Linked DNA regions of Daphnia pulex. The main gene of each other region encodes a partner of the protein of the gene in region 2 in a complex. Links are inferred from orthologs where the notes say so. Each region holds a gene or a part of one and is shown on either strand. Other genes may lie near its edges.

What was found. The genes of interacting proteins can lie anywhere in the genome.
Region 1: pre-mRNA-processing factor 6-like (region 2) and thioredoxin-like protein 4A share a complex: the UniProt entries of both Homo sapiens proteins name them as parts of the U4/U6-U5 tri-snRNP complex. The link is inferred for Daphnia pulex from reciprocal best matches to the Homo sapiens genes PRPF6 and TXNL4A.

Annotation. Positions count from the first base shown.
Region 1 is NC_060018.1:1,947,571-1,950,191, forward strand, and holds thioredoxin-like protein 4A, read left to right. Parts: upstream 1-1,297; 5' UTR 1,298-1,429; coding exon 1,430-1,507; intron 1,508-1,564; coding exon 1,565-1,701; intron 1,702-1,765; coding exon 1,766-1,979; 3' UTR 1,980-2,044; downstream 2,045-2,621. Other genes in the region: polyprenol reductase-like, read right to left, coding at 1-122, 195-389, 456-604, 675-862. UniProt on the Homo sapiens protein: Plays a role in pre-mRNA splicing as component of the U5 snRNP and U4/U6-U5 tri-snRNP complexes that are involved in spliceosome assembly, and as component of the precatalytic spliceosome (spliceosome B complex).
Region 2 is NC_060027.1:3,689,224-3,693,563, reverse strand, and holds the start of pre-mRNA-processing factor 6-like, read left to right. Parts: upstream 1-1,512; 5' UTR 1,513-1,524; coding exon 1,525-1,615; intron 1,616-1,694; coding exon 1,695-1,834; intron 1,835-1,892; coding exon 1,893-2,076; intron 2,077-2,150; coding exon 2,151-2,188; intron 2,189-2,251; coding exon 2,252-2,447; intron 2,448-2,520; coding exon 2,521-2,616; intron 2,617-2,688; coding exon 2,689-2,843; intron 2,844-2,913; coding exon 2,914-2,941; intron 2,942-3,001; coding exon 3,002-3,179; intron 3,180-3,250; coding exon 3,251-3,413; intron 3,414-3,470; coding exon 3,471-3,632; intron 3,633-3,726; coding exon 3,727-3,866; intron 3,867-3,946; coding exon 3,947-4,097; intron 4,098-4,340. Other genes in the region: endoglucanase 12-like, read left to right, coding at 1-42, 98-237, 312-540. UniProt on the Homo sapiens protein: Involved in pre-mRNA splicing as component of the U4/U6-U5 tri-snRNP complex, one of the building blocks of the spliceosome.

The sequences.
Region 1 (2,621 bases), on a different chromosome or scaffold from region 2:
TTTCCTTAAATTTGCTAAGGATACATGTGCAATATATTGATGATAGTAGGCAAGAGTAAACAAAATTATGCCAAAAATGGGTTGTAAAGGGATATCATTGCTATTTGGTATCCATACAAAATCTAGATTGTTCAACAATAAATTAAAGAAAAGATTATCATGTAATGGGAAAATATTGTGTTGGTAACACCTACCATTTGTACTGGAATAGTCAGCTGAGTATGAAAGTATGACAGTGGCACACCCCCAATAATGTAGATAGCCAACTAAATAATGGCCAAGGTTCATTTTTGAATCAGCAAAAACAGTGACACACAAACATTCATACAACCTCCTGGATGTTTGCAGGAAAAAAAGTACAGCAGCTAATAGTGATAACTCAGGGCTAGCTTTATAAATAGACAATATTTTAACAATACAGAATGAATAAAATTTTGTTAAAATTGTTCAGTTACCTAAAGGATTGTGAGTGTATGGTGATACAAAACTAATGTATGAGGTTACAAGCGTAGATAATTGATTCTTCAACACAATCTTCCACATCATTGTTATGAGAACCAGGAATGTATAGAATACTCCAAACACATAAAAGTGTGTAAACCAACTTAATTTAGCAGATTAAAATAAATTTTTAATTTTAATTGTAAAGGAATCAGCAGTAGTAACTTTAATACCTCTTCGGAATAAGGATAGTTCTGATTGAACTGCCAAATACCTTACCTTCACAACTTTTCCCATAAGAGTAGAGATCAATTATAATCTTTGGTATCCACTTAGTATCAACAACAAACACAAGAATACCAAGAATGGAACTCATGCTCAACAAAATAAAGATGGTAATAACAATGCTTATTGTGATCATGGCCGGTGTTGAGACTATTGGCTATCTTGAAGGAATGGCTGAGTTATTAATTCGTTTAGATTGAAAGCATAGTCGGTTTTCAACAGGTTATGTAAAAAGAGATTTGATTTTACGTAAAAGCACAACTGGTTTTTCGGGTTTCTGAAGGCGACCCCGTGCCATGAAGTCTGAACGAAAAATTGAAAACAAATGATAAGAGGAAGGGGGCCAGGGGGGGAATTCGAAAGTATTGCCACTTGCCAGATCTTAAGAATAATCCCTTATTAGAAATAAATTTTATTTTACTTTTAAAATGTTTTATTAGTAAAACTTTAAATATTTTATAGTTAACTATACACATTTTTATACTGTTAAATATGTTTATATTCCTTGGGAGTTGGGAATGAATTTGTAAAGAAAGTGGATGAAAATTTCACACACAGATGTCGTGTTACTCGTGAAGTTGACAGACGCATTATTTACCTTTTTCGGGTTTCTGAAAGGAAAGGTTTGAAAACGTGAAGCGAGATCTATTTCTAAGCACTGTTCAGCTTTTTCTTTTTTCACGACCTTTATCAATCAAACAATATGTCTTACATGTTACAGCATCTTGTTAATGGTTGGCAAGTAGATCAAGCAATTCTTTCAGAAGAGGACCGTTTAGTGGTAAATCAAACTTTCTCTAGTTAATATTACTATCAATTTAAACATGCTTTACTACAGGTTATTCGTTTTGGTCATGATTGGGACCCAACTTGCATGAAAATGGATGAAGTGCTTTATCAAATTGCAGAGAAAGTCAAGAACTTTGCTGTCATCTATTTAGTGGATATCACCCAAGTTCCTGACTTCAATAAGATGTAATTTCATATTTACATTGTATGAATGAATCCCAATAATGATTTTCACTGTTTTTCTATATAGGTACGAGTTGTATGATCCTTGCACAAACATGTTTTTCTTCCGTAACAAACACATTATGATAGATTTAGGCACTGGTAACAACAATAAAATCAACTGGGCAATAGAAGATAAACAAGAAATGATTGACATTGTGGAAACAGTCTATCGTGGAGCCAGAAAAGGTCGAGGTTTGGTTGTTTCACCGAAAGATTATTCTACCAAATATCGCTATTAACTGTGTTGTTCAATTAAATGACACTGGATTAAAAACTAATAAATGATGACACTTTTGAATCCCCATTTTCATAAATTGTTTGTCTCATAAATTGACCATCAAGTAAACACATCGTACAACAATCGTTACAACAATTACATTATATTACTTACGGTTAGGTTTCCGAACAGTGATTTAACTTACCATGAAAATTTATTTCAATTATTTTATATTTTACGTATACCGTACGTAGTTATTAGCAGGTAACGAATACTTCCCAAAAAGAACTCGAGATAGAGTGACATGTCCATTTAGTTTAAACTTAAGCCACTAGGTGCTCGACACTATGGCGGCAGTCTGTTTCCTGCCTGTTTCTTGTTTCGCCCCGTCAGATTAAATGAATGTAACCGTTTCAATAGCTCGGTTAGAACAATGTGTCATATACCCCTAAGTGAAGACATCAAAACTTTTTACTTATGAATGTGCTGATCCCCATGAAAGTACCATAAAGTGAAGAGGATAACAGGTGTTTACAGCCGGTGGCCGTCCAACAACGAACTTGTACTTATTGAACTCCGTGTGCACCACTGTATATTTTTGTTGCCTTTGAGGTGTGTCTGAAACGGTTTTATCTTCCTTTAAAGGTATAAGTGTGAAATTGAA
Region 2 (4,340 bases):
TCATTGCGTCATGCAGCGAATATTGCCTTCGTCTGTCTGCAGGTACAAAAAAATAATCATATGAGTTTGAGTCTTAAATCTTACACCGATTCAAAAGGCGGCTGACCTCAACATCAATCCATTGGCGTATCGCAAACTGGCGCAACAACAAATTCATTATGCGCTTGGAGATACAGGCCGTAGTTTTGTCGTGGGTTTTGGAGTTAATCCGCCGTTGAAACCTCATCATGCGTCCAGGTTTGAATAAAACATTGTGCTTATAAATATGATAGCATTATTATTTTTTAATGTTTTTATTTTTTTTTATGTAGTTCATGTCCGAATAGACCAGCTGTTTGTGATTGGAGCACTTATTCCTCAACTGCACCCAATCCCCAGGTGCTTTATGGAGGTCTAGTTGGTGGTCCAGATAGCAACGACAATTACACGGATGATCGGAGCAATTACGTTACCAACGAAGTAGCTTGCGATTATAACGCCGGCTTCCAAGGATCTGTAGCTGCTTTGCAATCATTGGCTGTCCAAGGTGTTTTCAACTAGAATACAAATTTACAAGATAAGACAGGAATTTGTTACACAACTATATTATATACCTACATTTTAGAAAGTATATTTTACTCTTAATTCTGCATGGTTATCTGCTACAGTACTGCTGATCTTGTTGGTTTTCTTGGAAATGGGATTTATTACTAAAGGTTAAAAAACGCCTGCATTTGTGTGTTCTTGAAAAGTTAAATAAAATTTGGTGATACATTTCTCAAACTATTGGTAACTTTTCAACCGATGCGCATGTCACGAAGAATCGTCTATTAATCTGAAAGAGTATAAGGAAAGTCTGGAATACGTTTGAGTTCGATGTCCTTTTCAAGGTAAAGGTGGTAGCTCGCGTGTTGTTTCATTCAATCTGAAACCTGAATTATGCAACTGCTGAATTCAATAGAAGATGTTGATAAATTGATTTCCACACCTAATTGATTTCCAAGTTCCCAAACATCACAATAGGCTAGTCATTAATCTAGCGTCGAAGTTGATTGGTTTCAAACAAGAACATCTGAAATCCGCACAGGGGGTGATAAACTGATGTATAGAAATCGAAAAATGCAACAAGCGTAACTACGTTTTCCGCGAAGAAACCCGTAAAGAGATTTCGCTGAAATTCCTCGTGCAAAAGAAGTCGTAGTTATCAAGGCTATAGTTCCATCGGGAAAAAAATAAGACAATTTTTAAAAATGTCTAAACAAAAGAATTTTGTGCGTCATCCATATTATAAAATCTACTTGAAACTGGTAGTGTGAGTATGCATTCCATCGAATGGGTCCTGTATTTCCTAATACCAGTGCGTTGCTCAAGTAATTCTTTTCCTCTAAAATGGTTTTAATATGGTGATGGTATTCTTGTTACGCAACTGTATTTTCGTTATTTTTTAATTATTGTGAAGTAATATGCAATAACGTAAAAGAGTTGAGTCTGTGCCGTGTATGCTTTGACCGAATGTAAAGTATAAAAAGGCGAGCGGGACGAACGATGCTGACAGAGAATCCAGCAAACTTACTACCGAGAATGTTGTCTTTATCCGGCTTCATCGTTATTCTTCTTTTCATGCATCTAGCTTCCGGTAAATATTCTTCCGTGTGGTTCCTCATATTTAACATGATTATAGAGTTGAAAAATACACCAATCAAAATAATAAATAGGAGGACCGTGCGATAATGTCGTCACAATTAGCTCATCTTGGCCGGGAGGCTTGACTGCCTCGCTTAATATTTCAATTACGACTCCAATCACTTCATGGGAAATTGACCTGAAATTTTCATCGGCCGTTCCATGGTTAAAGGTATGACACGCTCCTGTTACATCATAGATAGCATTTTTGAATATTTTTATTTTTAAAGGCTTGGGACGCTACAGAGTCTAAGATTAATGAAGTGGAATATCAGCTGAGAAACCTCAGTTCTAACGGAGTTCAGAGCGCTGGGGCTACACTGACGAGTGTCGGTTTTAATGCTTTCTTTAGTTCCAGCACCACACCCATTATTACAAGCGTACTTTTTAACGGAGACAACGTCTGTTTAATTGGTAAGTAACTAAATTATTAATCGTAATAATAGAGAATTTTTGGTTAAATTTTGTTTTTATTATGTCCTTCCAAGACACTAAAACAGAGGCTAGACAACCGATAATAGAAGAAGTAATAAATTTTAATTCTTTGGCATAAAATGGAAAAAGTTGTACTAAATGAAGCAATTTCTAGGAGAACAACCTTTTAGTGGATGCCTGGCCGACTAAATACAATTACCGTGAAGTAATCACCAAATCATTGCTCTTCTACTATGCCCAGCGCTCTGGGCGCTTGCCAGTAAACGATAACCCCATTCCGTATCGTTCAGACTCGGCGCTCAACGATCGTGGACAAGACGGAGAAGATCTCACTGGAGGCTATTACGATGGTAATTTATACTATTATTTGTATTCTATTTTATTCCATCAAAGTATTTGAAATTCTTTACCATATTTATTTAGCTGGAGATCACTTGAAACTCGGTTTTCCTTTAGCCAGTTCTATAACGATAGTGGCTTGGTCGATAATTGATTATCCGCTTGGATATTCTTCCGCAGGTTTTAAAAATTTAAACCAATTTCTCGTTGAATCAGATCACTAAACTTACTGGATTAATTTAAATAATACAGGGAAATTAACAACAGCTCGAAATATGGTCAAGTGGGCGACAGATTACTTTATCAAGGCCCATGTGCAAACTAACAAATTTTATGGGCAAGTGGGCGATGGCGATCTCGATCACGATTACTGGGGACGTCCCGAAGAAATGACCATGAAACGACCGGTATAAAGCCCTGACCCATTATTAAACTCATTTATTTCATCGACTGAAAACTACATTTCTATCGCTTTAGGCTTTTTTTATATCTACCTCAAAACCTGGTAATTTGTTTTTAAATTATATTGTCGTTCAAAGAAATAACACAACATTGCGCACGATAGGGTCTGACTTGGCCGGTGAAACAGCTGCCGCACTTGCCGCAACTTCAATAGTTTTTAAAACAGTCGACAGCACTTACTCAGCTCTTTGCTTGACACATGCAAAGCAATTGTACGATTTTGCTAAACGACATCGAGGAATATACAGCGAGTCCATCCCACAAGTAGCAGATTTTTATTCGTAAAAGCTTTAAATTTAATAAAATTGTTGCGTTTGATGTGTATCCGGTATAATATCACAATTGCCTGTAGGTCAAGTGGTTTCGGTGACGAACTGGCTTGGAGCGCTAGTTGGTTATACCGAGCTACTAACGATAACGCTTACCTCGACGATGCTAAGGCATTTTACACCGATTTCAACCTCTCCGATAATCCATCGGAATTTTCATGGGATACGAAAACTGCCGGAGTACAGGTAAATCAGTTATATTTGTTTAATTATTGTTCCGTTAATGCCATTTAATTCATATAGGTTCTGTTGGCCAAACTGACAAATGAGAACCTCTACAGAAACGCAGCGAAAACTTTCTGTGATTCCAAAGTTGAACAACCGAAGACGCCAAAGGGGCTCCTATTTGTTACCAAGTGGGGATCTTTAGGCGCCGCATCAAATATCGCTTTCATTTGTCTTCAAGTATTTAAAAAAAAAATTATATTCACAATTTTACGCCTGGTGATTAAAAATACGTTAAACTAATATATTAATATATTATTCACTTATTCCGTAGGCTGCCGATCTGAACATCAATCCATTGGCGTATCGCCAACTGGCGCAACAGCAGATTCATTATGCACTTGGAGATACAGGCCGTAGTTTTGTCGTGGGTTTCGGGCACAATCCACCACTGAAGCCACATCATGCGTCCAGGTTCGTGTTTTTAGCTTCTTGTTCATACAATAGATATCCAGAAATATTATACACATTTCTAATTTTTCGTCTTTTTGCAGTTCATGTCCGAATAGGCCCGCCGTTTGCGATTGGGATGCCTTTGATTCACCCAATCCTAATCCCCAGATCCTCTATGGAGCTCTAATTGGTGGCCCAGATAACCAAAATGACCATTACGTAGATGACAGACACAATTTCGTTACGAACGAAGTAGCTTGCGATTATAACGCGGGCTTCCAGGCGTCTGTAGCTGCTCTGCAATCACTGGCTGTTAACGGAATCTTCAACTAGAAGCAGTGCAGGAACATGGAAGATGAGATGAAGAAGATATTTAATATTTTCATCCGCCTTTCGTTTTAGTAATAAATCTTCTCGGTGTTTTTGGTTGTTCGGAATGTGTCAAATAACAATCGGGAAAATTTTTTTGAAAGGGAAAACATAATTATGAGCATT